Oryctolagus cuniculus: one gene and its partners. The protein of the gene in region 1 purifies or fractionates together with the protein of each later gene. This does not show direct contact. Links are inferred from orthologs where the notes say so. Each region holds a gene or a part of one and is shown in the gene's direction. Other genes may lie near its edges.

Region 1 (3,500 bases):
GAGAAACGTCTGTTACATGTTTTCACATCAACAGTGGATAACATATCAGACAGGAGACCTAAAGTATAGCAGCAGCCTTTTTGGAGGAATGGAAGATAATTACCTCAACCAGAGTAACTCCTGAAGGTGGTATTTTACCATGCTAAGAGTACTAGGGTAACTGCAGCTTTGGGGGTGAATAAATCTGAAGTTGGTGAGAAACATTACCAGAAATTTGATCCCAGTATGGCTGTTTAGCATGCTTTTCTGCTGTGAATAAACATTACCTGCCCCAATAGCCCACTAATAAGTTATAGGAATTAGTCTTTAAATAGCAGGATCATAACAGGTTGGTTAGAAAAGGGTTTAATTTAGATAGTCCTACAGATATTCTAGTTATTTCTGTCTCATGTCATCTGTTCTCCCTCAGTGTGTGTATTTATGTATTTATATATATTTATACACACATATATAATTGTTTTTTTTTTTTTTTTTTTTTAATATTTATTTGAAAGACAGTGACACAGAGAGACTCTTCCATCTGCTGGATCATTCCCTAAATGCCCGCAAACAGCCAAGGCTTGGCCAGCCAAGAATCTCCCTTGTGGGTTACAGGGACTCAAGTATTTGAGCCATCATCTATTGCCTTCCGGGTGCATTAGCAGGGAGCTGGATCAGAAGCAGAAAAGCTGGAACTTGAACCAGTGCTCTGATAACGGGATGCCAGTGTTCTAAACGTGGCTTAACCCACTGTGCCAAAGTGCCTGCCCCTCATTATTTTTCTTATTAGAAAATGCAGTTAATTTAGAAGAATTGAGGTTATGATTTTCTTAAATTGGAAATTGGAATGTTTGTTAAAATGACAAATTTGTCTCTTTATTTTACATATACAGGAGATTCAGAAAAGAAAAAAATACATATTCTTTTCACAGATTTTTTCATTTGAGAGGCAGAGACATATACACATAAAACAAGAGAGCACTCCCATCTTCTGGCTCACTCCCCAAATGCCCACAACTGCCAGACTGGGCCTGGCCAAAGATGGAAACTAGGAATTCAATCCAGGGTTCCCACATGTGTGGCAGGAGTCCAATTACTTGAGCCAATGCTGCTTCCTCCCAGGGTTTTTATTAATAGGAAATTAGAGTCGGGAGCTGGAACTGGTGTATCAAACCCAGGTGTTGTGATAAAGGATGTGGTCTCTTAACTGGCATCCTAATCAGTAAGCTAAACGACAACCCCCATAGACACGTTTTTAAAAATAATGTATGATGCAGCCGATAACAGTTGATTATCTGCATATTCCAGATTTGAAAATGTAGCTGAAATTTTTCAGTGTGTACTGAGGAAAATTAACATTTCAAAGATGTTAATGCTTTTGTGAGAGTGTGTGTGTGTGTGTGTTTTAAAAGCAGCTTTACTGTTTTAGGGGACCCACGGAGACCATACCCAACTGATTTGGAGATGAGAAGCGGATTATTAGGTCAGATGAACAATCCTTCTGCTAATGGTGTGAATGGTCACTTACCAGGGGATGCACTTGCAGCGGGCAGACTGCCAGGTACTGTTAACTGGAAGAATGTTTTCCAGCAGATCCAGGTTTTTGTGAGGTAACAATGATGGGATGGCTAACTGTTAAATAAAAATTTGTGACATTCCAGACCTGTGTCAGTTTAATAGCAAGGTACTCTGCCAGTGTCTCCTGCTCTTTGCTAGAAACCTGTAGATGGTGGTTATGAAATTAGAATGAGCTGCCTTTCTCTCTGTTAGTGTTCTGCCATCCTCCTCAGGCATGGGTATTTCCTCTATTTTTATTGTTGTAAACAGCCTTTTTGCAGTAGTGAAACATGCTATGTAAAGAGAATAAATACATATTTTGTTGACTTGTTTTGATGTATTGAAACTTTTGGAAAGCAAAAAGACATAAAGAGAAAAAATCATCCTTTCTGAGAAGGTCTATTATGTTACTGAATATGATTTGTATGCATCAGTTTTGTTAGCTGCCTAGAGCACAAATTGGCGACCTCGCTGCCTATACTTGTTTTCTGGGATATCGCTTCGTCTTTCTGTGATTGTACTGGCTAATACTTGGGTGCTAGTCAGGAGACAGAAACCACACCAGTCATTTAAACAAGGAAAGCTTACATTCAGGAATAATAGATATGGGAAGCAGCTACTCCATCTAGAAACAAAACAGGGTATCCTAAGAAGGGGCAGACTGGAGGAATGTTCTCTCCACCCCCATCCCATTATCATCACAGAGCTCTCTCCCTGGAGAGGCTGAAGTGTAGCCCTGGCCTACTCCTGGTAGTCAGAGGCCAGAGCTGGCATGCAGGAAATTACCCACTGGGGTTCCGGGGAGACATCCTGGGAAGCCACCATTTGGGATTTTGGAGAAACCTACTGAGAAACCACCCATAGGGATGGTCTTGTACTTGGTCCTGTACACCAGCCAGGCACAGTGGGAATAAAGGCAAAACAACCCACCCAGGAAGGCTGTTCCTCTCAGGGTGTCAGTAGTGCCATCTGCTGGCAAAGAAATGGTTTCAGAGTGCAGGAGGAAGAGTAGATTGGAAGCTAATTGGCATACCTGTGTAGTTAATACTGTAATACTCTCTTCTGGCTCTTCTCAAATTTTACTTCTTTTAGCCTTAAGTTATACCTGTTCATGTGCTCTGTTCTTTTTCTTCAAAAACAATATATGCTCTTAATGTGACATGGGCACTTCATAAGATGTTTCTTATACATATATTGCCAATCAACTTCTCTTTGGTCAGAATGATTTAAAATAGCCGTTTCGCTCTAACAAATTGTTCACATCTATGATATTTCATGTAGTACAGATATTATCTATTTATAATATATTGAATAATATGTGTGGTAATATATAATTATATATAATATATATAATTATATGGGCATATATAATATACATAGAGAAAACATTTCATTTGTAATTGTAAACATCTTGTAAAACAAAAATTGTCAGCTCACTATTGATTCTTGTAGAAGACTATAATTTTAAAAGAAAATGTCCCTACTAAAACATCACATTTTTCCTTGCTAGTCATAAATTTAATCACTAATTTGACCATATGTGGATTTTTTATTTCTAGCCTAAAAAAAGTACTTCAGATTGTTTGCATAAAGGGAAAAGTAGCTGACAGGCTGATTGATTACGAATAGGACTATTTTTATATCTGCTTTGTTCTTTCTCCAGATGTTCTTGCTCCACAATACCCGTGGCAGTCAAATGATATGTCAATGAATATGTTGCCACCAAATCACAGTAATGACTTTCTGTTGGAACCTCCTGGGCATAATAAAGAAAATGAGGATGATGTAGAGGTCATGTCAACGGACTCTTCAAGCAGTAGTAGTGACTCTGACTGAAAAAAGAAAAATGGAAGACAGCATACAGAATTGAATCCTGTAGAATTCTGTTTCTTAAACAATAGCAGAGAAATGTAAATTGCAGATTTGTAAGGAAGAACCAGGTAAATGTTGTTATGGTGAAATTG
Region 2 (3,500 bases), on another chromosome or scaffold:
AACCAATTATAGAGCATATCTGTTACCCTAAAAAGTTCTTCTGTGCCTTTTCCTGGTCGTGTTTCTCTGCCAGAACCACTTGTCGATCTAATTTCTGTCGCCATGAATTATTTTTCCTCTTTTAGGAATGGAATCGCTTACTATGTGCTGGTCATGTGGAGTTCTTTTCCTCAGCATTATATCACGCTATCAGTAGGCTGTTTCTTTGCTCAGCAGTACTCCACTGCGTGAGTTTATCCCAGTTTATTCTGTTGATGGGTACCTGTGCTGTTTCTGTTTTTCTTGCTTTGAATCATGGGCTGTGAGTATTCAGGTACAAGATTTTTGTGGACATTGTTTTTATTCCTCATGGTGAGTACCAGGACTGAAATTTCTGAGCCATAGGGAGATGTGTATTTGTAAGAAACTGACAACTTTCCAAAGTGGTCATACCACTTCATACTTCTGTTAATGATGTATGAAAGTTCTGGTTTTCCCCAGCCTTGCCAGCATTTGGTATTTTCATTGTTTTTCATTTTGATCCTTCCAGTAGGTGTCTAGTAGTCTTAGTGTCATAGCAGGCTTTAATCCTTTCAGGTAATTTTCTAGTTCTTTGTATAAATTAAATTGGAAAAGAAGATTTTATATTGAAGTATTCAAGATGATTGAAGTTCTCATCTAAAAGCAGTTTATTTCTATTTGAATGAAGTTGAGAGGGGTTAGAAATTACTCTTTAGAAGGATGTGGTAACTGTTTATCATTGTGTTCTCAGCCATTTTATACCGTTGTTATGGATTGCCATTTAATGTTTTCTTTTTATTTATTAAAATATTTCTCTGCAAATTTTTTCGATGTTTAATTTGTTTTGAGGTGTTGCAATTTACTGAGGTAGCTGCAAGAAAGAGTGTTTGCTTTACTTTTACTTTAAAATGTAAGTTTTCCACATGTTGCCACATTGATTTCATGTGTAGACAGTAAATCTCCATGCACATGTGCAGTGTTTTTTTCTTGAAAACGAATATATCACAAAGTGAGGATTCGTGCCGGTGAGCATAATGTGGAAAGAAGGGTGTATTGTCACATAAGTGGTATGCTTCAGTGAGGCAGTATTGTGACTGTTCCAAATGATGTGAAATCCACACAGATTTATACTCTACATACTAACTTCCACAAATAAGAGAAAACGTGGTATTTGTCTTTCTGGGTCTGGCTTGTTTCACTTAGCATACTGATTTCCAGTTCTATTTTGTTGCACATGTCAGAATTTCATTCTTTTTAAAGGCTGACTAGTATTCTATCTTGCATATATACACTTACCTGATAATCAGTGGATGGATATTTAGGTTGGTTCTATATTTTTGCTGTTGTCAATTGAGGCATTGTAAACATGGGAGTGCAAGTACCTCTTTCATATGTTGATTTCATTTGCTGTGCTTATATTCCCAGGATTCCAAACCAGGTTCTATGGTAGACATATTTTTAGTTTTCTGAGGATTCTCCATACTGTTTTTCACAATGGTTACACTAGTTTGCATTCCCACCAACAGTGTATTAGGTTACCCTATTTTCTGCAACCTTGCCAGCATTTGTTATTTTCTGAGTTTTGTATAGGACATAATAATTGAAGTGAGGTGATACCTCTTTGTGGTTTTTGTTTGTATTTTTCTGATGGCTAGTGATCCTGAGAGTTTTTTCATGTCTATTGACCATTTGTATTTTTTTGAAAATGTCTATTTGGAGTCATTGCCATGGTGTAGTGTAGTGAGTAAAGCCTCTGCCCGTGGCCCCAGTATTCCCTATGGGCACTGGTTTGAGTCCTGGCTGCTCTACTTCCAATCCAACTCCCTACTAATGCACCTGGGAAAACAGCGGAAAATGGTCCAAGTGCTTGGGCCCCTGCACCCACATGGGAAACCCAGAATAAGTTTCTGGCTCTTTGCTTCCGATCAGCTAGCTTCAGCAGTTGCAGCTGTTTGGGGAGTAAGCCTGTGGTTGGAAGATCTCTCTCTCTCTGTCTCCCCTCCCCCAACTCTGCTTCTCAAATAAATAAATTTTTTTAAAAAGTTACCAAAAAAGTGTCTATTTGTATCCTTTGCCCATTTCTCAATTGGATTGTTTGTTTTGTTTTTGAGTTTAAGCTCCTTATATATCCCAGATATTAATCCTTTATCAGATGAATAGTTTGCAAGTATTTTCTCCTATTCTGTTGGTTGTCTCTTCACTTTGTTAATTGTTTCCTTTGCTGTGTAGAAGCTAATTAGCTTGATGTAATACCATTTGTCTGTTTTTGCTTATACTGCTTCTGGGATCCTACCCAAGAAATCTTTGCTTAGGCCAGTGTCTGGTGTTTCATGTTTTTGACAGTTTTAGGTCTGAAGTTTAGATCCTTGATCCATTTTGAGTTGATTTTTGTATAGGATTAATGTAGGGAATCTGTTTTAGACTTCTACATGTGGAAATTCAGTTTTCCCAATACCATTTGTTGAAAAGACTACCCTTCCTCCAGGAAATGACTTTAGCTTGTTTGTCAGAGTAGTTGGTTGTAAAGTGTGGGTCAATTTCTGGAGTTTCTGTTCTGTTCCATTGGTCTATAGGTCTATGCTGGTAGCTCCATGTGTATGTCTTAAAATCTAGTATTATGATGTCTCCAGCTTTGTGGGTTTGTTGTTGTTGGGTTTTTTTTTTTGTAAAGATTTATTTATTTGAGAGGCAGAGTTACAGAGGGACAAACAGAGAGAGAGGTGTTCATCTGCTGGTTCACTCCCCAGATGGCTACAATGGTTGGAGGTGGGCCCAGGAGCTTCTTCCAGGTTTCCCACATGGGTGCAGGGACATAAGTGCTTGGGCTGCCTTCCACTGCTTTCCCAGGCCACCGGCAGGGAGCTGGATCAGATGTGGAGTAGCCAGAACTTGTTAGACTTTTTTCATTATGGAGGTTAATGCTGTTGAGTTAAAACCAATTTTACTTTTCTGTTTTATCAAGCTTGGGATAAAGAACTTTTATGAAAATTCTTTACTCTTTGATATTTTTTTATTTTAGAGGGGAGGAGTTACACTCAGAGATGGAGTGAGGATGGAGAGAGATCAGTCTTCAGTCTGCTGGTCTACTGAAAAAGGCACAACAGCCAGGGCTAGGCCTGGTCTAAACCAGAAGCCTGGAACTCCATCTGGGTCTCCCATGTGGGTAGCAGGGGCCCAAGCACTGCTTTCCCAGGTGCATTAGTGGGGAGCTGGATCAAAAGTGGAGCAGCTGGGACTTGAACTGGTGCTCATATGGGATGCTGGCGTTGTAGGTATCAGCTTAACCCACTGTGCCATAGTGCTGCTGCCCCCCAAGAATTATTTTGATAATAAGACACAGTTCTTTCAATTTCCTTTTTTTAATTTGAAAGTCAGAGGCGGGGGGTTGGGGAGGGTCTTCCATCTGCCCCAAATGACCGCAATGGCTGGAGCTGGGCCAATCAGGAGCCAGGAGTCTCCTCTGGGTCTCCCACATGGGTGCTGGGGCCCAAGCACTTGGG
Region 3 (3,500 bases), on another chromosome or scaffold:
GAGACCCAGAAGAAGCTCCTGGCCTCAGATCAGCTCAGCTCCAGCCGTTGCAGCCATTTGGAGAGTGACCCAGCCAGATGGAAGTGCTCACTCTCTCTCTAACTATGCCTTTCAAATTAATAATATAAATCTTTTAAGCAAAAAATGATGACGTGCCCTTCACAGGTGACAGCGTCTGCCCCGACATGTGCTTCGCATTTATGGAGTACCCACATGTGGTTCTCATGGGCCAGGGAGAACTACCAGAAGGATAACTGCCACGTGTCTTTCCTAGGAGCTCGTCCGTCAGCGAGGAGTCTTAGAACGCACGGAGAAGATGGTGGACAAGATGGACCAAGATTTGAAGACCAGCCAGAAGCACATCAACAGCATTAAGAGCATGTTCGGGGGCCTTGTCAATTACTTCAAATCCAAACCCGCAGAGGCGGCCCCTGAACAGAATGGCACCGGCACCCCCCAGCCCAACAGCAGGTGAGTGTAGCAGAAGTGGGCTTTGGCGTGAACGGAAGACTTCCAGGCCTTGGCCGAGCCATGAGGGGATTCAGGAAGCCTGTAAGTTATACTTCAGGAGGGTTTTGTGTTAACCCATCTTCCCACGCCTGATTATATGTATTTGATTGGCACCTAGTCTGCAGATTGTGCATAAGTTGGGTTTCCAGTAAATTCCTGCTATACTGATTGTCACCCCAGTACTGAGAGTGTTCACCTCAGAAAGTTAGATCAGGCTGTAAGGGACTCCCTACACAATATCTGTACTTTATTTTTTTAAAAGATTTATTTTATTTATTTAACAGACAGAATTACAGAGAGAGGTAGAGACAGATAGAGAGGTCTTCCATTCGCTGGTTCACTCCCCAGATGGCCACAATGGTCAGAGGTGTGCCAATCCAAAGCCAGGAGCCAGGAGCTTCTTCTGGGTCTCCCACGTGGATTCAGGGACCCAAGCACTTGGGCCATCTTGTACTGCTATCCCAGGCTGTAGCAGAGAGCTGGATCAGAAAAGGAGCAGCCAAGACTAGAACTGGCGCACATGTGGGATGCCGGTGCTTCAGGCCAGGGCTTTAACCCGCTATACTGCAGAGCTGGCCCCAGCAGTATCTGTACTTTAAAAAGTCATTTTTCCCACCCAGGTGTTCTACATATAATTCAATTTGCCCATTGCTTTTCACTTTTTTATTTATTTTCATTTACTTAAAAGATACAGGGGCAGACACTGTGGCACAGCAGGATAAAGCCCCAGACTGCAGCACTGGCATCCCATATGGGCACTGGTTCAAATCCTGACTGCTCCACTTCCAATCCAACTCCCTGCTAATGTGCCTGGGAAAGCAGTAGAAGACGGCCCAAGTCCTTGGGCCCCTGTAGCCACGTGGGAGACCCGAAAGAAGCTCCTGGCTTCGGATTTGCTCAGCTCCAGGCATTGAAGCCATTTGGGAAGTGAACCAGCAGATGAAAATTTCTCTCTGTCTCTCCATAACTCTCTTTCAAATGAATAAAAACAAATATTTTAAAAAATAATACAAAAGGCATAGAGGGATTTTTCCATCCACTGGGTTACTCCCCAAATGCCCACAACAGCCAGGGCTAGACCATGCTGGAGCCATGAGTCAGGAATTCCATACAAATCACCCACAGAGGTGGCAGAGCAATAAGGCCTTGAGCCGTTGTCTGCTGCCACCTGGGAGCCTCAGCAGGAAGCTGGACCTGAAGCAGAGGAGCTGGTCCTCAAACCAGCACTCTGCTGTATCGGGCTGTAGTCTTCCCTGAAGCTGAGTGGGTCTGGGAAGAAAGGAATGTTGGTAAAGAGCCAGTAATGGTAGCAGAGAGAAGAGGTGGGGGAGGCTCCGGGCGTCTGGATCGGACACTGCAGGGAGGAAAGCAGGCCTCTGCAATGCCCTGGGGCTACTCCCGTAGATGCACCAGGGTTGATTTGTCTGGCTTAGGCCCAACCACCACTTCGCGCAGATTTTCCAGCTTGACCCTGATTTTAATTAATTACTTCTGAGATTTATTAATTCATTTATTTGAAAGGCAGAGTTACAAAGAGAGAAAGAGGGAGAGACAGAAGCAGAGATTTTGCATCTGCTGGTTCCCTCCCGAGATGACCATAACAGCCAGGCCTGGGGCAGATTCAAGTCACGAGCCAGGAACTTCATCTGAGTCTCCCACGTGAGTGCAGGGGCCCAATTACCTAGGCCATCTTTGCTGTTTTCCCAGGTGCTTTAGTAGGGAGCTGGATCAGAAGTGGAGGAGCCGGGACTCAAACCAGCACTCATAAGCGATGTCAGCATCACAGGTGACAGCCCTACCTGCTATGCTGCAATGCCGGCCCCGACCCTAACTTTAAATCCCTGTCACTCTTTCTCATAACAGAATTGGGTTTTCCTTTGGCTGCTTTTTTTTTTTTTTTTTTTTTTTTTTTGACAGGCAGAGTAGACAGTGAGAGAGAGAGACAGAGAGAAAGGTCTTCCTTTTTTGCCGTTGGTTCACCCTCCAATGGCCGCCACGGCTGGCGTGCTGCAGCCGGCGCACCGCACTGATCCGATGGCAGGAGCCAGGTACTTATCCTGGTCTCCCATGGGGTGCAGGGCCCAAGTACTTGGGCCATCCTCCACTGCACTCCCTGGCCACAGCAGAGAGCTGGCCTGGAAGAGGGGCAACCGGGACAGAATCCGGCGCCCCGACCGGGACTAGAACCCAGTGTGCCGGCGCCGCTAGGCGGAGGATTAGCCTAGTGAGCCGCGGCGCCGGCCTTCTTTGGCTGCTTTTAATTATAGATGAGTATCCCTCATCAGAAATGCTTGGGACAGAAGTGTTACAGATTTTAGTTTTTTTTGGATTTTGGAATATTTGCATAGACTTTACCAATTGAGCATTCCTAATTCCAAAATGCTCCAAGATCTAAAACTCAGCAGCGCTCAAGAAGTTTCAGATTGGGGGCAGGGCAGGAGTTGTGGCACCGCAGGTTAAGCCACACTTGGGACACCTACATCCGATGATGGAGCACCAGTTCAAGTCCTGGCTGCTCTGCTTCTGATCCAGCTCCCTGCTAATGCTCCTGGGAGGCAGCAGAGATGCAGCGAGTCAAGTACTGGAGTCTGTGCCACCCACCTGGGAGACCCACATAGAGCCTGGCTCCTGACTTCAGCCTGGCTCAGCCCTGATTGTTGGTCGTTTGAGGACTGACCCAACAGATAGAAAATCTCTTCCTCTCCCTCTGCCACTCTACCTTTGCAAATAAATAAATCAATCTTTTTCTAAAAAGGTTTAGGGTTTTGGAGCATTTAGGATTTTAGGTGTTCAGGCTAGGATGCTCAACCTGTGCCACAGGAAAGGTAGGATGTTCATTTAGTTTATTTTTTTTTTAAGATTGATTTATTTATTTGAAAGTCAGAGTTACACAGAGAGGAGAGGCAGAGAGAGAGAGATCTTCCATCCCCTGGTTCACTCCCCAAGATGGCTGCAATGGCTGGAACTGTGTGATACGGAGCCAGAAGCCA
Region 4 (4,273 bases), on another chromosome or scaffold:
CCACCCCGCGATGACCAGCAGAGGGCCACTGCCTGCTGTACAGTCAGCCCGAGTGCAGGGTGGGTGGGGGCTTTGCGCCTCCCGGCGGGGCTCAGCCAGCCGGCTCCCTCACCCCAACACCCCCTTTCCCTGCCCCACCCCGCCCCCTGTGCTCACAGCCTTCAGCCTCCCTCCCAGAGCAGCACGGAGAACACAGTGCATCCATCCATCCATCCATTCCTCACCTGTTAGCCCATGTGCATCTCTCTTTTTTAAATAAAGATTTATTTATTTGAAAGTTGGAGTTAGAAGGAGAGACGGAGCGCATTTGCTGGTTCACGCCCCAGATGGCCGCAACAGGACGAAGCCAGGACCCAGGAGCCTCATCCGGGTCTCCCACATGGGTGCAGGGGCCCCAGCACTTGGGCCATCTACTACTGCTTTCCCAGGTGCATTAGCAGGGAGCTGGATTGGAAGTGGAGCAGCCGGGACACGAGCCGGCGACCATACGGGATGCCGGGGCCCAGGCCACTGTGTAGTTGTGCCCCTCGCCCAGCTATTCCAGGCTGTGGTCACACCATCCCCTCGTGGGGCACCCCACATGGACCTGCAGAAGAGTCTGGGGGTGTGCCGCTCCGGCGAGTGGGGTCAGCACTCCCCCAGGAGAGCAGCCGTCCATGGTGGTGGCCAGGATGGTGGGGGGGAATCCCCTGCTCTGGACCCTGGCCAGGCGTCACCTCCAGGTCTCCGTAGGGCAGCGTCCTAAAGTCTTCAGGATGAGCCGAGAGGGCGTGGCTCATTACCCACGGGCCCCGGGCAGAGCGGCAGTTCCCAGGTACTAAGTCCCCCCCTCCGCCCCCGCGCAGGGAGATGCGATTCCCGTGGGGGCTCCAGGCTGCAACCAGGGTCCCTGTGGTTGCTCTGAGCCCCCAGTCCCTGTTGGCCGAACAGCTCCGGGAGGGCCTTCGGCACCAATCAGGAGCTCAAGGCGGGGTGGTGCACCTGTATCCCTCCACCCCCCTGTCACACCTGTCGCACTTGCTCCTCCCAGCGCTCACCCAGCTGCCCCCGCCAACAAGACGCCGGTGACCAGGGCCTCGTGGCTGTTGGCCAGGTGCCTTGGAGGGGCCGTCCACGCCTATCACTCTGACCACAAGACTTTCCTCGACCCCCAGCCACGGCCTCCTACTACCCCATGGCTCTGTATCTGTGCCGGGGCCTGCTGCGGTGCATTCCAAGGCACATTTCCAAAGAAGAGATCAAGAAGCATGGACAGCGGAGACAGGCGTAGCTCCGGCTTCCCGCTTCGCCGGGACCCAGCGGGCAGCGCAACGCTCCGACTGCCTGCACCCCCAGAGCCGCGCCCCCTGGCCCAGGCGTGGAGCGCGGCGGGGGCGTGGCCTCCGGGCTGACGCACGCGCAGAGCGCATCGGGGAAAATTTTTCTCACGCCTGCGCTAGCTCCTCCCCGCCGCTAGGGGGCAGTGAGCCGGTCCTGGCGCGGTAGGCGCCGCCGGCGTGACCCGGAAGCAGTCGCGCGGTCGGGTTTGGAGGCGGTGGCGGCGGCCGTTTAGTCGCCGGCGGGCCGCGGTGCCAGGATGAACGCACCTCCGGCCTTCGAGTCGTTTCTGCTCTTCGAGGGAGAGAAGAAGTAAGTGGAGCCCGGCGGGGCGGCGGAGGGTCGGGCCGAGGCCCGCAGCTCCTGCGTGTCCTGCGGGCTCGGGGGTCGGAAGTGTTCGAGTGTCCGAGCGGCCTGGGTCCGCCCAGGGGGGCAGTGCCCTGGGCACGCCGGCACTTGCGGGGACTTGCAAAGTGTCCTGCTGCAGAGTGCTGTGGTTCCGCGGGGCCCCGGCAGGCGTCCCTGTGGCGTCCGGCCGGCCACCCGCGTCCTCCCTCCACGCGGCGGCCTGCGCGAGGGCTCCGGAGCTCGGGTCCGCCCTGTCGGGGCCCGCGGTCTGGCGGCCACACATCTGGGCCGGGCTCCCGGGTCGCCCGCCTGCCCGCCCTGTGGTCCTCGGACGCGTGGCTTGGCCGGGCGCCCGTGGGAGCGCGCGGACCGTGGCTTTGGGGTTGCGCGTGGGAAGGAGTGTTTGTGGCTTGGCCAAACCGAGGGGCGCAGGCGTTGCGGGTCTCGCTCGTGGGGAAGTCGCTTGGGGAGGGTTTCGCGCGCGTCTAGGAAGCTGTGGCGTGGATTGCGTGCGTTCCGTGGTCAGCCGCGGGTGGAGCTTGAACGAGGAGGAGGGTGTTCGGGGGCTGCGCCGAGGGCGCAGGTGCGCGGTTGGGGCCTGCGGCTTCGTGATGAGAGGTGGTAGCCGCTGAGTGTGCCCTGTTTGTCCCATCAGCTGCCCCTGGCTTGGCTCCGGGAACGCCTGGTCATCCTAAGAGGCGGTGGTGTGGGCTGGGTCTGGCCGAGGCGCACTGTGCGCACCTGGAAAAATGGGCTGCTTGCACGCGCGCTGTGGTTAAGCACAGGGAGAGGTTAAGTGGGTTCTCGCGGGGGCAATGCCTTCCGAGTCTGAGCAGCCTAGGGTGCGGGGGCTGGGGTGCGACCCTTGTCGGCCGCTCGAGCCTCCCTGGGCACAGACTAGCAACCAGGGGAGCAGGCGTGGTGGTCCCGGGCGCCCCGGGCGCCGTGCAGCCCCCAGGGCGGGCCTGTGGCGCGGGGGGAGTGCCTGCTCCCGCCCTGGCTGCTCCACCTCCCAGGAAGCCGCAGGTGATGGCCCAGGGAGACCTGGCTCTCTCGTGGGCTCCTAGCTTCAGCGTCTCCCTAGCCCCAGCTGTGGCGGGCATCTGTGGAGTGAACCAGCGGAGAGAAGACCTGTGTGCGTCCCTCTCTGTGCCTCTCTTTCTTTCTCCTTTTTTTTTTTCTTTAAGTTTATCTGAGAGGCAGAGTTAGGTCTTATCTAGGTGGCCGCAACAGCTGGAGCTGAGCCGATCTGAAGCCAGGAGCCAGGAGCTCCTTCCAGGTCTCCCATGGGGGTGCAGGAGCCCAAGCATTGGGGCCGTCCTCCGCTGCTTTCCCAGGCGCATTAGCAGGGAGTTGGATTGGAAGTGGAGCAGCTGGGACTCGAACTGGCGCCCATGTGGGATGCGGGCACTGCAGGTGGCTTTACCTGTGCCACAGCAACGTGTTTATGAAGCACCCATTACCATCACAGGTGCTCACGCTGTGGCTTCTGGTATGAACGTGTTTTTAGTTTACACAGCGCCTTTTTTTTTTTTTTTTTTGACAGGCAGAGTGGACAGTGAGAGAGACAGAGAGAAAGGTCTTCCTTTGCCGTTGGTTCACCCTCCAATGGCTGCCGCGGCCGGCGCGCTGCGGCCGGCGCACCGCGCTGATCCGATGGCAGGAGCCAGGTGCTTTTCCTGGTCTCACATGGGGTGCAGGGCCCAAGCACTTGGGCCATCCTCCACTGCACTCCCTGGCCACAGCAGAGAGCTGGCCTGGAAGAGGGGCAACCGGGACAGAATCCGGCGCCCCAACCGGGACTAGAACCCGGTGTGCCGGCGCTGCTAGGCGGAGGATTAGCCTAGTGAGCCGCGGCGCCGGCCTACACAGCGCCTTTTGTATTTCCTTTCCCATGGACTTTTTAATTTGAAAGACCGAGAGGGAGGGAGGGAGGGAGAGAGGTCTTCCATCTGCTGGGTCACTCCCCAAATGGCCCCAATGGCCCGGGCTGGGCTGATCTGAAGCCAGGAGCCTCACGGGTGCAGGAGCGCTAGCACTTGGGCCATCTTCCACTGCTTTCCCATGCCCCAGCTGAGAGCTGGATGGAAGTGGAGCAGCCGGGACTTGAACCCACTGCACCACAGCACCAGCTCCCATGGACTCTTCCGCTGCTTTAAAATTTTTATTTTTTTAAAGATTTATTTATTTACTTGAGAGAGGAGAGGCAGAGAGAGATCTTCCATCTGCTGGTTCACTCCCCAGTTGGCTGTAATGGCCAGAATCGCACCAGTCCGAAGCCAGGAGCTTCCTCCGGGTCTCCCATGTGGGTGCAGGGGCCCAAGCACTTGGGCCACCTTCTACTGCTTTCCCAGGCCATAGCAGAGAGCTGGATTGGAAGTGGAGCAGCCGGGACTCGAACCATATGGGATGCTGACACTACAGGTGCTGGCCCCTTAACATTTTTAATTGACACATAATACTTGCACATTTTTAAAAACGTTTATTTGAAAGTCAGGGTCACACAGAGAGGGAGGGAGGGAGAGGGGTCTTCCATCCTATGGTTTATGCCCCAGATGGTTGCAATGGCCAGAGCTGCGCCGATCTGAAGCCAGGAGCCAGGAGCTTC
Region 5 (4,152 bases), on another chromosome or scaffold:
CTGTTCTTGCTAGTGTGTCAGTGTACTGGGGATGGAGAAGATAATGAGAGAGAAGGGTGAACTTCTGATAATTGTTACAGCCAGGAGATTATTCATATGGTAGTATTTAGGGGCTCCTTATACCATTTCTACGGGTTTTGTTATGTTTGATCATCTTCATGATAAAGTTAGATGAAAAAAAGTCTGCCCTGCCTGTGAAGCAGGAGAACTAGATTTGACAGTTGCCCATATGACAAGGGCAAATCCAGGTATGAGTTACACGCTAGGGTATTCATGAAGGCGAAGTCCCGGCGACAGAGGTGGGGAAAGTGGTTGGGAAGAACTCACTCTACAGGCCCGACTCCGTCTCAGGCTGGGTTTGGAGATGCTCATAGGTCAAGGTCTGGAGTGAGGAACCAGCTCGGCCACCCTGCTGTCGCTTTGTCTACATCCTCTTTCTTTTCTTTCTTTCTTTCTTTCTTTTTTTTTTTTTTTTAAAGTCGGCAGAGGTAAGTAGACCCTCTGATTCGACCAACATTTCCTGGGCATCCACTGTGTATCAGGCATTGTACACAAGCTTCAGGTGAGATGGTGCCTGCATCACGTCGAAGGAATTCCTCCAGCCCTGGGGAACAATCAGGCTAGGATGGGCGAGCATCCAGTCCTTCCAGCTCCAAGTATGGGATAGAGGACGGAAACTTGGGATCGGGCAGTTGCAGGTTCAAATCCCAACTCGCTTCCTGGCTTCGAGCAGGACCCTGAACCCCCTCATCCCCCCCCGCAAAGGACTCAATTTCTCCATCTGTAGAAAGGGTGCAGGAAAGCCATGCACGGTTGTCGTAAGCATCCGAGATTCTGACTGTCGAGATCCTAGCACGAAGCGGAGGCTCCGTAAATGGCAGCCATCATTCTTGGCCAAGTGCGGGTGCATCCTCCCGGGCGCGCCTCCCGCGGCGTCCCTCGGGGGCAGGCTGGGCACGCCTCCGCGGCCTCGGTCTCCCGGCAGGTGGCCCAGCATCTCGGTGCCCACGCCCCGAAGCGCGCGGGGAGCGCGGGCGGGTTAGGTGACGGTCTCCGCCGGAGGACCACCCCCTCCCATCCACGCGTCCCGCGCAGGTGAGGTTTCCGGCCCAGGCCACGGGGACAGCGACCGCAGGGGAGGTCGAGAGGGAGAGCTCAGCCCTAGGCCAACAGGGGGCTCCTAAGGGCGCCCTCGCTCTGGTGCAGGTTCACCCCAGGGCCAGCCCCAGCGCCGGGGCCCGCGGGCTGAGCGCTCTGCGGCTGCGAAAACCCGGAGAGGCGGATCGGAGCGCGCTCGCAGCCAACTCCTCCGCGGTCCGGCCACCGAGCTGGGCATGCTCAGTGCGGCCGCCGCGCCGCTGTCCGCCAACTCGGAAGCTCGCGCTCCCGGGCCGTGGGGGCGAGAACGCCGGCGGCGAGCCGGCGTCGCTCGCCGCCCCCAGACAGCCGCAAACTTCGCGGCGTCCCCGGAGCTCGTCCGGGCGAGGTGGATCACAAATAAGATCCAATCCAATCCCCCCTTCCCAACCCGAAGGATGGAGGCTGCGGCCGCAGGAGTGCCCCCGCCGCCGCCGGCCCCTGCCCGCTAGCCAGGGACCAACAGGTAAACTGTTAGGGGTGGGGGTGGGGAGGGAGGAGGCGCCGAGGCCGGGGAGGGCGGCTGGCTGGAGGAGCCCGGCACGCCTGCGGCTGGCCGCCCCCGTCGGCGCTCTCAGCCATCCCCACCCCGCCGGAGCCCCCATCCCAGCCCCTGGAGGGGGCAGCAAAGGGTTAAGTCGGCCCCGCGCCACGGTGAGCACGGCCCCCTCCAGCTGCCGCGGCCGCTGCGACCGCCAGCAGCGCGCCTCGGCGTCTGCCCGGAGCCGCTGAGGGGGACCCCAGCCGCGGATGCGCCACCGGAGCCTGGCGGGCGTCTAGGAGGCACCGGCCGCTTCCACCGTCCGAATCCCCGTCTCCCCGAGCCTGTTCTGGCCTCCTGCCCTCCGCACCGGCCGGGTCGGAGCCCAGGTGGCGGGGTCTTACAGGGCGCTTGGCGGCCGGGGGAGGGTCCCCGACGAGGAAGAGGGGCGGGGGCGGGCCGCTTTGCAGCCTCTTCCCCGGGGATCAGGGCCACCCTCGCCTGGGACGAGCACTTGAGCCACCGCTCCTAGGCGCCAAGAAAGTTTTTTTTTTTTCTTTCTTCCCCCCTTCGTGCCCTTCCCCCACGCCCATCCTGCGCCCAGCTGAGGTGGGTTTGGGTCCATTGGTGAAAAAAGTCACACGTTCCCATCAGCTGCTCCTCCCCCTGGGGACAGGGTGGAGAGGGGTGGGCGGGAGGCAGGCGCCGCGGAGGACCCTGGCAGACCTCCAGCCCCTCGGCCGCCGGCACCGGAGCGGTGCGTCCCGGGGCCCGAGCGCAGCCGGTGCCCGCGGAAGGCTGCCCCCATCAGCTCGTGTCTGCGTGCCCGGCACGGCAGCATCCAGCCTGCTTTATTCCTGCCTGCAGCGCCACAGCGAGCGAGCGAGCGAGCGGAGGGGGAGAGAGGGAGTCTGTCTGCAAAGTGCTGCTCCCTGGTGCTCAGAGGCGGCTGCTCCAACTCTCATTCATTTCGCCGGTTAACATGAGAGATCATGGCCGCCTTCGGGCTTCTCAGCTATGAGCAGAGACCGCTGAAGCGCCCCCGGCTCGGGCCGCCCGACGTCTACCCGCAGGACCCCAAGCAGAAAGAGGTAAGGGCGCCGGCGGCCTCCGCGGCTACCGGGGCCGCGCTCCGCAGCGCTGACCCGGGGCCAAGTTGGCCCGGCGGGCATCGCCGGCGCTGCGGGGGAAGGGTCGGGGAGCGGGATTGGAGGCGGGGGCCGGGCTGAGGGGGCTCGGGGACCCCGGGCGACGGAGACCGAGCGGTTGTCAGTCCCGGCGCTCCACGGGGGCGCTCGCTCTTCGGGTGCCGGGTCGCTTCCCGGTTATCGGGCCTTGCACGGCGCCGCCAGGCGCTTCGCTGGCGGCTTCCTTGCCGAAACCCCTCTGCTCGTTCTCCTCCGCTTCTAAGTGCTTTATTTTTTTTTTCTCCGCCGCTTCAGTAAATCCCCGTAAACTTTTTGAAAAATGTTGGAATGCAGTGCCTCCGACACCGAGGTCTTGGCGTTTTGCGCCAGCCGAGCAGGGACGGAGGTGGGGGGGATCTTCCAGTTTTCCAGTTGGGAATGGAAGTCGGTTTTTTTGTTTGTTGGTTTTTTTTAGAGGTGATGAATATTTAGCCCTCTGAATGTACCTCTGGATATCTTCTCCTCTTTAAAAATCAGTATTAAAGAGAAACACTGATTTTCATCCCTAGAGGCGATAGGCTTAATTGCGGGAGGCTGTTTTGTATACGGAAAAGCTGGCGAGTTACCTTGGAAGGGAATAGGTCCCAGGATTGCTTATTTCTTTGAATGAAATTAATTGGAGAAACCTTGACTCTTGTACCAGGTACACCAGCTTCAAAGGCTAGGGTAACCATGGCATTTTGTAGCTATGTATGTGTTTGCCAGGAGTTAACAAGTAATTATGTAACAACTCTCCAGTTATAATAATGACCACCCTAGGCTTCACAATTTGCCCAGGGACTTGGCTTTTTTTTTTTTTAAATCACCTGCTTCCCAGCTGTGCTTCTGGAGTTGCCAGCTGCAGCCCATCCGTTCTGTTTAAACACCAACTTACCACATCTCACAACTTATTTGGGAATTAAAAAGAAAAATTCCTCTATTAAAGTTTATAGGCCCACTGATAGTGCAGAAAGAGCTTTGTAATAAGGCCAGGGGCCTTAAGACTTCCGTTGTGATAAATGTATCTGTCTCGTTGATAGAGGAAGAATGCTTGTTCTGGCTACAGTGCTTCGCTCCTAATGCATCTGAGAAACCAGGAGCACTGGTTCCTCTCCCAGGTTTGGCACGCTAAATTTCAGCACCAGTGGAATAATTCAGATTGAAGCGGAGGTTTACACGTGGCTCCCAGGAGCGGCTTCACAGGGTGAGAGAAGAATGAGATTTGGCAGATTCTTCTGTACCCTTTTGCTCACTCTGCTACCCCTACTCAGAATGGAGACCCCTACTCAGAATGGAGAAGGTCTGGGAATGGTCATAGAGACACTAAGAACCCCAAGTAAAGAAAGTTCGTAAGGCAAAATTACTGGC
Region 6 (4,260 bases), on another chromosome or scaffold:
TGGGCACAGTCAGGAGGGTGGCGCCGCCTGAGCCCCAACACTTCAATGAAATAATGACTCAACCTTCAGCCGGATTAAAGGCACATATCCGTTCCTAGGAGTGCCCAACCGAAAAAAAAATTAAAAAAAAAAAGGCCTTAAAAAGGCAAGCCAAACGATTGCTTTTAAAACGCTGCATCTTCCGGGCACTTTAATTGTCCTTAGACAGATGGCCCAAGCTCGGCTGCGGGCGCCGCACATGCTCGGAGGGAACCGACTCGAGCGCCAAGAAGAGGCTGATTGGCTGCTGGGGCTCAGAAGTTACTCGTCCTCCTTATCGTAAGGCAAGAACTAGGAAACCGCTGACTCTACAGGTTTTGAAATACGGTTTCTGCATCGTAAAGAAAAACGATTAACCTATCAGGAAGAACCAAGCCTATGCAATTACCAATCCAGAGCGGGAAAGCAGCCAGAGCCCGGGGACACCACGCACCACGGCGGACGTCATTCTCTAGCCTCCGCCAATGAGCGACGGGACGGGGGCGGGCCGCTCGCCGCGGAAAACAAACAACAACCTGCGTTACAACTGTCCTGACCAGTCCTCCCTCTCGAGCCCTCGGAGCGCGCTGCTGCGCGAGGCGCCCTGCGTGTGACACAATTCCCACGCCCCTTCTGGCCCGGAGTACCTCATCCTAGCAGAGCAAGGGCCGCCGACACACCCACGCCCACAGTCTCTCACGAAGCACCCTCCAACTTTGCGCCTTCTACCTTCACAGGAACTGGTAGCCCAGCGCTACCTGAGGGGGAGGGGCGGCCCCAGTGCGCACGCGTGCGTGCTATGCGGGGGCGAGGCTGTGGAGGCCCGAGGTAGTCTGGGAGCTGTATTTCTCGCGCGGGCCGAACGTCCACGGCCCCTGGGGCCTGAGGAACTACATTTCCCAGGAGCCTTCGCAGCTTTGGGGCGGGCGGGCTGGCTCGTTAATGAGCTCGAGGAAGCCGCGGCGCGGCCCACCAGGTTCCAAAACAAGGAAATGAAGGGGGGAGGCGGGACCGGGGGTGCCTGCGGGAGCTGCCGCCGCCGCCGCCGCCGCGGAGGAGGAGTAGGAGGAGGAGGAGGAGGTGGAGGGGGTGGCTGCCGCGGCCGCCGAGGAGTCCCTTGCTGAAGGCGGACCGCGGAGCGGCGGGCGGCGCGCGCGCGCCCGAGAGGCGGCTGTTGGAGAAGTGGAGCGGCGGTCGCGGGGGGAGGAGGCAGAGGAGGAGGAGGAGGAGGAGGGACTGAGCGGCGGCGGCCCCCGCGTCCCGGTGCCTCTATGGGGGAAGCAGACAATGGATTATGATTTCAAGGCGAAGCTGGCGGCGGAGCGGGAGCGGGTGGAGGATTTGTTTGAGTACGAAGGGTGCAAAGTGGGACGCGGCACCTACGGGCACGTCTACAAGGCGAGGCGGAAAGATGGGTAAGAGCAGGGGCGGGGGAGTGAGCTCGCTCCGATCCTCGCCCTGCCCGCGACCCCGCGGGATGGGTGGGTCGGAGCTCGGGCGCGCCGTGCCCCAGGGGCGAGGCGGAGGTGGGCGCGGGGCCGCGTCCCGGGGCGGACTCTTGAGGGACGCCCGCTCTGACCGCTCCCCGCGCGGCCCCTTCGCGCCCCTCGAACTCCCGCGGCGCAGCCCCGTCGGGGGGCCGGTCCCGTTTGGTGGGCGCCCTCCGCGTGCCTGGAGCCGGCGGCGGGACTCCAGCTGGGACCTCGGCTGGAGGTGGAGTTGGTGGGGTCTGTCTCGTGGGGGAGACGCGGAGGGCTGGAAGAGCCCCCGTCGCGGAGTTGGCGCTCCGGCCCTGGGCTGCTGACGGTCGCTGAGGAACTTCCAATCGGCTGAGCGCCTCTCGGGGGCGGCGGTTTGAAACCTGGCGGGGGAAGCCAGGCGGGCGGACGGGCCGGCTGGGCGCCGCCACTCTCAGCCGCGACCTCTGCCTCGCGGGCCCGTCAGCCCGGTGGCCCCTCAGCGCTGTCGCTCCGGTCCCAGTCGACCCTTCCTCCCGCGCCCCTCCGGTTTCGGGGTCTCACTTTCTGAATCGCACACCTTCTCCTTGGAAGGTGGGACCACCGCTTCCTTGACAGGAACCGCGTTTTGCCGGCGGTAACTTCAGAGTTCTTTCAGTTCCGCGTAGCACTGCCCGGGGGTCTCGGGCATTCTTGCGCCCTGCACCCCGGGCGCTGGCCGTGGACTGCGCGCTGGGGCTCTCGGAGCATGCAGGTTACTCCGAGCGGAATACGGAGTGACGGGGCAGGGCCCGAACCTCTGTTGTCCTGGGAGTTGAGGGAGACCCGTGGGAACCCCTTGGGAAGCTGGATAGTGGGCAGCGGAGCTCGCACAGCGGGACAGGTGGAACCAGCTCCCTGCCTTCGAGCGGTGGCTTGCAGCGGGTCGTCACCTCTCGTCCCATCCCCCTCGCCCCGGAACTCCCCTCCCCCGGTGTCAGGGCGCCACGGAAAGTCTGCCTGTCCTGCCTAGACCCCACAGACGGTCCAAGTAACCGGAACAGAGTTTTCAGAATTGTAACGGAGTGTTCTGAGTGAAGTGTTGAGCAGCCACACGACGTAAGACTCAAAGTGCTGCACGCTCTTGTAATCTGATGTGGTTGGTTTATGAATTCTAGAGCCAAGTAGGTAGATTGTGTGTGCTAATTTCGTAAGAGGAACAACAAAGCACAGTTTTATAAAGTATTTTATCATAAAGCATCGTGAAATTGTTCAAAGGCTTATCCCAAGTTTACAGGATTGTTACTGCAGGTAGCTTTTTTCTTTAATAACTGAACAGGTTCTTTAGTACGCAGTTTCTCAGTTCTTTTAGTTAATTACCAGGTATCCTTGCATGCACATCATGGAATCTGAGGTACTGTAATTAAGTTGTATCTTGTTTTCGGAATGTCCACTCGACCTGTTTTACTTGTGCTTCTGTGGATATATTTGGGGAATGCACACGAAGTTTTCCGGATTGGACATTGATGTAAAATAAATATGAGGTGCGTTTTTTTCCATACTCCTCACGCAGACTTTGTAATATACCTCAGAATTTTAAAAATGTATTTTTTTTTTGGATAAAATAGCATTCTTTTAGCAGACTACTTTTGAGAAGTTAAACAAATGTGCTTCTGAATTGTATTTGAACAGGACAGGCTTGCAAGAAGAAGTAATTTAATTCCTGCTCTTTGTTCTTTTTGAATATTTGTCCTTTTAATAAAGTTCTTGATTGGAATACACTCCTTTCTTGAGTGAAATTTATTAATTAGAATTCATAAACTTTCATTACTAGAGTAAGGTCAGTTTGTGCATTTTCAGTATATTTGTTGTGTAGGATCTGAAAGCATTAAAGAACTATTTTACATATATGAAAAATCATAATGAACTTTTTTTTTCTTGGACTGAAATTTTAGTTTAGATTTGCAACTTTCTGATAAACACCTTCGGTAATGGGGTCAGTTAGGTTCATATCAGTGATTTGACAGAATACAAAGTTTTTGCTGATAGTCCCTAAACTCTGATGCAGATTTACATTGTAAAGGATTTTTATATTATGATCATAGTAAATACATTAGCTCTGTTTATAAAAAATTTTAAAGATATTTTAGGGAGCAAGAGATAGATTACATGGGTGCATTAAAGAGAAATTATTCTGGGGATGGGTGTTTGGCGTAGTGGTTAAGATATGACTTGTGGGGCCGGCGCTGTGGCTCACTTGGGCACCAGCATCCGATATGGGCGCTGGGTTCTAGTCCCAGCTGCTCCTCTTCCAGTCCACCTCTCTGCTGTGGCCCGGGAAGGCAGTGGAGGATGGCCCAGGTGCTCGGGCCCCTGCACCCGCATGGGAGACCGGGAGGAAGCACCTGGCTCCTGGCTTCAGATGGGCGCAGCTCGCCAGCTGTAGCATCCATTTGTGGGGTGAACCAGTAGAAGGAAGACCTTTCTCTCTGTCTCTCTCACTGTCCAATTCTGCCTGTCAAATAAAAAAAAATAAAAATAATAATAATAAAAAGATATGATTTGGGACATCCATGCCCTCTATCAGAGTGCCTGGTTTGAAGGTCTGGTTCCACTCTCCATTCCAGCTTGCTGCTGGTGTGCACCCTTACAGGCAGCAGGTGATAGCTTGAGAAGACGGACCCCTCTCATGTCTGGGACCTTGATTGAGTTCAAAACTCCTGCTTTTGGTCAGCCCCAGCCCCAGCTGCTGCAGGCATTTGGGGAGTGGACCAGTAGGTTGGAGATCTGTCTCTTTGCCTTTCAA
Region 7 (4,262 bases), on another chromosome or scaffold:
CGTCATCAGTGCAGCTGAGGCTGGCCACGTCTCTGACAAAACAGCCGCCTTACATATTCATGAAGCAGCTGCCTTTGCTGACGTTTACCAGGATGAGTATTAAACAGATGCGTATTTTTGTGGCAATGTTGGGCTTCCTGAAAGCAGCCCAGGCAGGATTTTTCTGACATATGCTTGCAGCATTACAAAACTTTACTCTTTGTCACTAATTATATGAACTATTTATAGGGCAAATTGTCAATACCCAGTATTTGCTCATGCATCTAACATTTTCAATTTGTGGGTTTTTTTGTTTGTTTTTTAGCCATATCTATTTATACCTGATTTTTTTTTTCTTTTTAAAGGACGTTCTCATTATGATGCCAATGACAAATTCGGGGCTTGTGATCAAACACGCTGGGAGGGGAAAAAAAATGACGCACGTTGCCATGGGGATATTATTGATGACTATTAGATTGCTTCTCAAATTCTGAATAGAAAGCCACGTTAACATTTTGAATCATAAAGTTACAAAACTAGCAGAAGCCTGAGGAACCTGGCTGAGACCATAGGTTTGGCGTTAGGCAAACTGGGTGACCCTAGACCCACACCCATTGTTAAGTCTCAGTTACTTTGTCTTTAAAATGGGGATGCTTTGGAGTTGGCGTCCTAGCGCTGTGGGTTAGGCCAGAGCTTGGGACACCTGCCACCCACACTAGAGAGTTGTTTCAGGTCCCGGCTGCTCTGCGTCCCATCCAGCTCTCTGCGGGACACCTGCCCCCCACACTAGAGAATTGTTTCAGGTCCCGGCTGCTCTGCCCAGCTCCCTGCTAATGAGCCTGGGAGGCAGCAGATGATGGCCCAGGTGCTTGGGCCCCTGCCACCCACGTGGGAGTCCTGGATGGAGTACCTAGCTCCTGGCTTCAGCCTGGCCCAGCCACAGTTGTTGGAGGCATTGGGAGAGAGAAGTATCCGAGAAAAGATTTCCGCGTGTCTATCACTTTGCCTTTCAAATAAAAATAAATTTAAAAATGTTGAACAGTTGTTTTAAAAAAATAAAATAGCGGGTCGAAGCCATGGTGCTGTGGGTTAAGTCGCGGCCTGCAGCGCCGGCATCCCATATGGGCGCCAGTCTGAGACTCGGCTGCTCCACTTCCCACCCAGCTCTCTGCTAAAGGCCTGGGAAAAGCAGCAGCAGATGGCCCAAGTACTTGGGCCCCTGCACCCGCGTGAAAACCCTGAACGAAGCTCCTGGCTCCTGGGTTGGCCCTGGCCCAGCCCTGGCCGTTGAGGTCACTTGAGCTAAATCGCCTGTTTCTGACTAATTTACTTAACTAGACTCGCAACCAAATCCAGCCTACACCAGCCCGCCCACCGCATGTCGCCTAGCAACAGCCTCCTCCCCTCACGCCTGCGCTTTTACCCCGCCCCCTGCTCAGTGCGCATGCTCAGATCCGTGCGTCCGGCCCCGCCCCTGCGAGGCGCTCAGCAGTGACGTGTAGAGTCCGCGACGCTCCCGGCGAGCCGAGCCGGTGAAGTGGGGGAGTTGGCTCGCTGGACCGAGCCCCGGGGCCATGGCCTCGGCCGGGGTGGCCGCTGGGCGACAGGCCGAGGATGCGTTACCGCCACCGGCCGACCCGCCGCTGACCGAGACCAAGCCGTTGCCGCCGCCGCAGCTGCCGCCACCGGTGGCCGCGCCCCAGCCGCAGCAGTCGCCGGCGCCCCGGCCCCAGAGCCCCGCCAGCATGAAGGAGGAGGAGAACTACTCCTTCCTGCCGTTGGTTCACAACATCATCAAATGGTAAGGAAGGGCCCCGGAAGAGGGGGCCCCGCCGCCGCCGCTGGCGCTGGCGCTAGGAGGCTGCAAGGGTGCGTCCCCATTTCTCGGGCGGGCAGGCCGAGGCCAGGGGGTGGGCAGGGGCCTCTCCCGAGAGCTCGCGGCGCCTGTCCGGGCGCATGGGGGCGCCGGGGGGCGCCGTGCTCTATGCGGGGGACACTTGCTCCGAGCTGGCCGGCACAGGTGGCCGGGGGCCTCGGGAGCCTGGGCAGCGTCCCTGAGGCTCCGTAGGGTTAAGACGCGCTCTGGTTTTCTCCTCGTCTTCAGCACATCCCGCAGAGAAACATCGTCGGGACTGCATAGCGTTCTGCTAGGCGTTACGGGGTGCGCACGGTAAAAGGGGCCGACTGCGGGCCGGCCTTGTGGCGTAGCAGGTAAAGCCGTCGCCTGTAGCGCCAGCATCCCGAATGTCTCCAGTTCGAGTCCCGGCTGCTCCACTTCTGGTCCAGCTCTCTGCTGTGGCCTGGGAAAGCAGTGGATGATGGCCCAAGTCCTTGGGCCCCTGCACCCACGCGGGAGACCTGGAAGAAGCTCCTGGCTCCTGGCTTTGTTCGGGCTATTTAGGGAGTGAACCAGTAGATAGAAGATCTCTCTCTGTTACCCATAATTATGTTACCCATAATTCATACAGATTGAGCCTGCAGGGCTGAGATGGCCTGCAGAGACACAGAAATCGCCTCCACCGGGCCTGGACTAACTTGATCCCAGCCTACCTTGAAAGGATATGGCCGTGCTGTTGGCCAGCCCTCAGGGGAGCCCAAGCTTTCGGACAGACAGGCTCTGGAAAGGAAAAAACAAAAACAGACAAGAAACCAAAGTCCCCCCCGTTCCACGCTTGCCTGAGTGAGTACGCCGCTGGCGCTGACGTCACGGAGTGGTGCCTGGGAGAGTGAGGAGGTGCAGCCGAGGCATCGGCCGCTTGCTGCAGGCAGACACGTCCCAACGGGACATGCGTGGTGTTTGGCCTTTCGTGGAAGTAGGAGGAGTACGTTCTGAAACAGCAGTGAGAGGTATAGGACAGCCAATACGAGGATTGTTTTGAAAGTTCACGGAAAAGTGCGTATTATGGAAAGATGTGTATGGGTTTCATTTTATTTTTCAGGGATTGGTTTTACTTATTTGAAAGGCAAAGTGATAGGGAGGCAGAGAGAGAGAGAGATCTTCCATCTGTTGGTTCACTGCCCAAATGGCCACAACGGCCGGCCTGGGCCAGGCTGAAGCCAGGAGCCTGGAACCCCATCCGGGTCTCCCACGTGGGCGACAGGGGCCCCAAGCACTTGGGCCATCCCGGCTGCTTTCCCAGGCGCATTATCAGGGAACTGAATTGGAAATGGAGCAGCGGGGACTTGAGTAGGTCCTCATGTGGGATGCCAGCATCAACGGCTTGTGCCACAATGCTGGCCCCTGAACCAAAATTTTAGTTCCATTTTTCCAGTAACTTTTTTTTTTTTAATTCATTTGAAAGGCAGAATTACAGAGAGGCAGAGAGAGAGAGAGAGAGAGCTTCCACCCAATGGTTCACTCCCCAAATGGCTGCAACAGCCGGAGCTGTGCCGATCTGAAGCCAGAAGCCAGGAGCTTCTTCTGGGTCTCCCAAGCAGGCAGGGGGCCAAGGACCTGGGCCATCTTCTACTGCTTTCCCAGGCCATGGCAGAGAGCTGGATCGGAAGTGGAGCAGCCGGGACTAGAACCAGCACCCATATGAAATGTCGGTACTGCAGGCGGTGGCTTTACCCACTACGCCATAGCGCCGGCCCCGCAGTAACTTTCTGAAGTTCCCTGTATGAGAACTGGCAGTGCAGTCGGTTTCTTTCCGTCGGAGTCACCACGAACAAGGTTGTTTTCAGCCCCGTTTTAATCTCATGCCACCATTCGTCGTGTGTGTAGTCTGTTGTTGGCTGACTCACGACTCAGTGCTAGATGTAAACCCCCAGGCTTGCCACTCGAGCTCAACCATTTAAAACCAAAGCAAGCTAAACTTGACACCACCACCATTGCGGGGGCGTTCAGGTTGAAGGTTGATGGGCTTGCCGATGCTGTGCTGAGATGGAGTCGCTGCTGACAACGTGGACTTTTTTTTTCTTTTAAAGATGTATTTATTTGGAAAGAGTTACAGGGTCCGATGTTACCTGCGGTGCTGCCTTCCCATATAGGCACCGGGTCGAGTCCTGGCTGCTCCACTTCGAATCCAGCTCCCTGCTAATGGCCTGGGAAAGGCAGCAGAAGATGGCTCAAGTGTTTGGACTCTGCTACCCGTGTGGGAGACCCAGAAGAAGCTCCTGGCTTTCACCTGCCCCAGCCCTAGCTGTTATGGCTGTTTGGGGACTGAACCAGCGGGTGCAAGATCTCTCGCTCTGTCTCTCCTCTCTAAGTTTGACTTTAATTAATGAATAAATCTTAAAAAATTTTTTTAAAAAAGGAGTTACAGTGAGAAGAAGAGACAGAG

Evidence for each region.
Region 2: the proteins of MED4 (region 1) and CCDC138 purify together in Homo sapiens (affinity purification with mass spectrometry; 3 studies listed by BioGRID and IntAct, with this or other methods). This does not show direct contact. The link is inferred for Oryctolagus cuniculus from reciprocal best matches to the Homo sapiens genes MED4 and CCDC138.
Region 3: the proteins of MED4 (region 1) and SNAP29 purify together in Homo sapiens (affinity purification with mass spectrometry; 3 studies listed by BioGRID and IntAct, with this or other methods). This does not show direct contact. The link is inferred for Oryctolagus cuniculus from reciprocal best matches to the Homo sapiens genes MED4 and SNAP29.
Region 4: the proteins of MED4 (region 1) and POLR2J purify together in Homo sapiens (affinity purification with mass spectrometry; 3 studies listed by BioGRID and IntAct, with this or other methods). This does not show direct contact. The link is inferred for Oryctolagus cuniculus from reciprocal best matches to the Homo sapiens genes MED4 and POLR2J.
Region 5: the proteins of MED4 (region 1) and MED12L purify together in Homo sapiens (affinity purification with mass spectrometry; 3 studies listed by BioGRID and IntAct, with this or other methods). This does not show direct contact. The link is inferred for Oryctolagus cuniculus from reciprocal best matches to the Homo sapiens genes MED4 and MED12L.
Region 6: the proteins of MED4 (region 1) and CDK19 purify together in Homo sapiens (affinity purification with mass spectrometry; 7 studies listed by BioGRID and IntAct, counting the BioPlex papers as one, with this or other methods). This does not show direct contact. The link is inferred for Oryctolagus cuniculus from reciprocal best matches to the Homo sapiens genes MED4 and CDK19.
Region 7: the proteins of MED4 (region 1) and MED9 purify together in Homo sapiens (affinity purification with mass spectrometry; 10 studies listed by BioGRID and IntAct, with this or other methods). This does not show direct contact. The link is inferred for Oryctolagus cuniculus from reciprocal best matches to the Homo sapiens genes MED4 and MED9.

Annotation. Positions count from the first base shown.
Region 1 is NC_091440.1:67,111,463-67,114,962, reverse strand, and holds part of MED4 (mediator of RNA polymerase II transcription subunit 4), read left to right. Parts: intron 1-1,408; coding exon 1,409-1,540; coding exon of another isoform or gene 1,541-1,584; intron 1,585-3,146; coding exon of another isoform or gene 3,147-3,155; exon of another isoform or gene 3,156-3,199; coding exon 3,200-3,372; 3' UTR 3,373-3,500. UniProt on the Homo sapiens protein: Component of the Mediator complex, a coactivator involved in the regulated transcription of nearly all RNA polymerase II-dependent genes.
Region 2 is NC_091433.1:100,007,045-100,010,544, reverse strand, and holds part of CCDC138 (coiled-coil domain-containing protein 138), read left to right. Parts: intron 1-125; coding exon 126-227; intron 228-3,500.
Region 3 is NC_091452.1:29,626,593-29,630,092, forward strand, and holds part of SNAP29 (synaptosomal-associated protein 29), read left to right. Parts: intron 1-274; coding exon 275-471; intron 472-3,500. UniProt on the Homo sapiens protein: SNAREs, soluble N-ethylmaleimide-sensitive factor-attachment protein receptors, are essential proteins for fusion of cellular membranes.
Region 4 is NC_091450.1:44,084,269-44,088,541, reverse strand, and holds the start of POLR2J (DNA-directed RNA polymerase II subunit RPB11-a), read left to right. Parts: upstream 1-1,473; 5' UTR 1,474-1,576; coding exon 1,577-1,629; intron 1,630-4,273. UniProt on the Homo sapiens protein: Core component of RNA polymerase II (Pol II), a DNA-dependent RNA polymerase which synthesizes mRNA precursors and many functional non-coding RNAs using the four ribonucleoside triphosphates as substrates.
Region 5 is NC_091435.1:130,278,715-130,282,866, reverse strand, and holds the start of MED12L (mediator of RNA polymerase II transcription subunit 12-like protein), read left to right. Parts: upstream 1-1,352; 5' UTR 1,353-1,603; intron 1,604-2,485; 5' UTR 2,486-2,610; coding exon 2,611-2,709; intron 2,710-4,152. UniProt on the Homo sapiens protein: May be a component of the Mediator complex, a coactivator involved in the regulated transcription of nearly all RNA polymerase II-dependent genes.
Region 6 is NC_091436.1:60,781,398-60,785,657, forward strand, and holds the start of CDK19 (cyclin-dependent kinase 19), read left to right. Parts: upstream 1-1,460; 5' UTR 1,461-1,495; coding exon 1,496-1,731; intron 1,732-1,764; exon of another isoform or gene 1,765-4,260.
Region 7 is NC_091448.1:66,357,005-66,361,266, forward strand, and holds the start of MED9 (mediator of RNA polymerase II transcription subunit 9), read left to right. Parts: upstream 1-1,462; 5' UTR 1,463-1,553; coding exon 1,554-1,780; intron 1,781-4,262.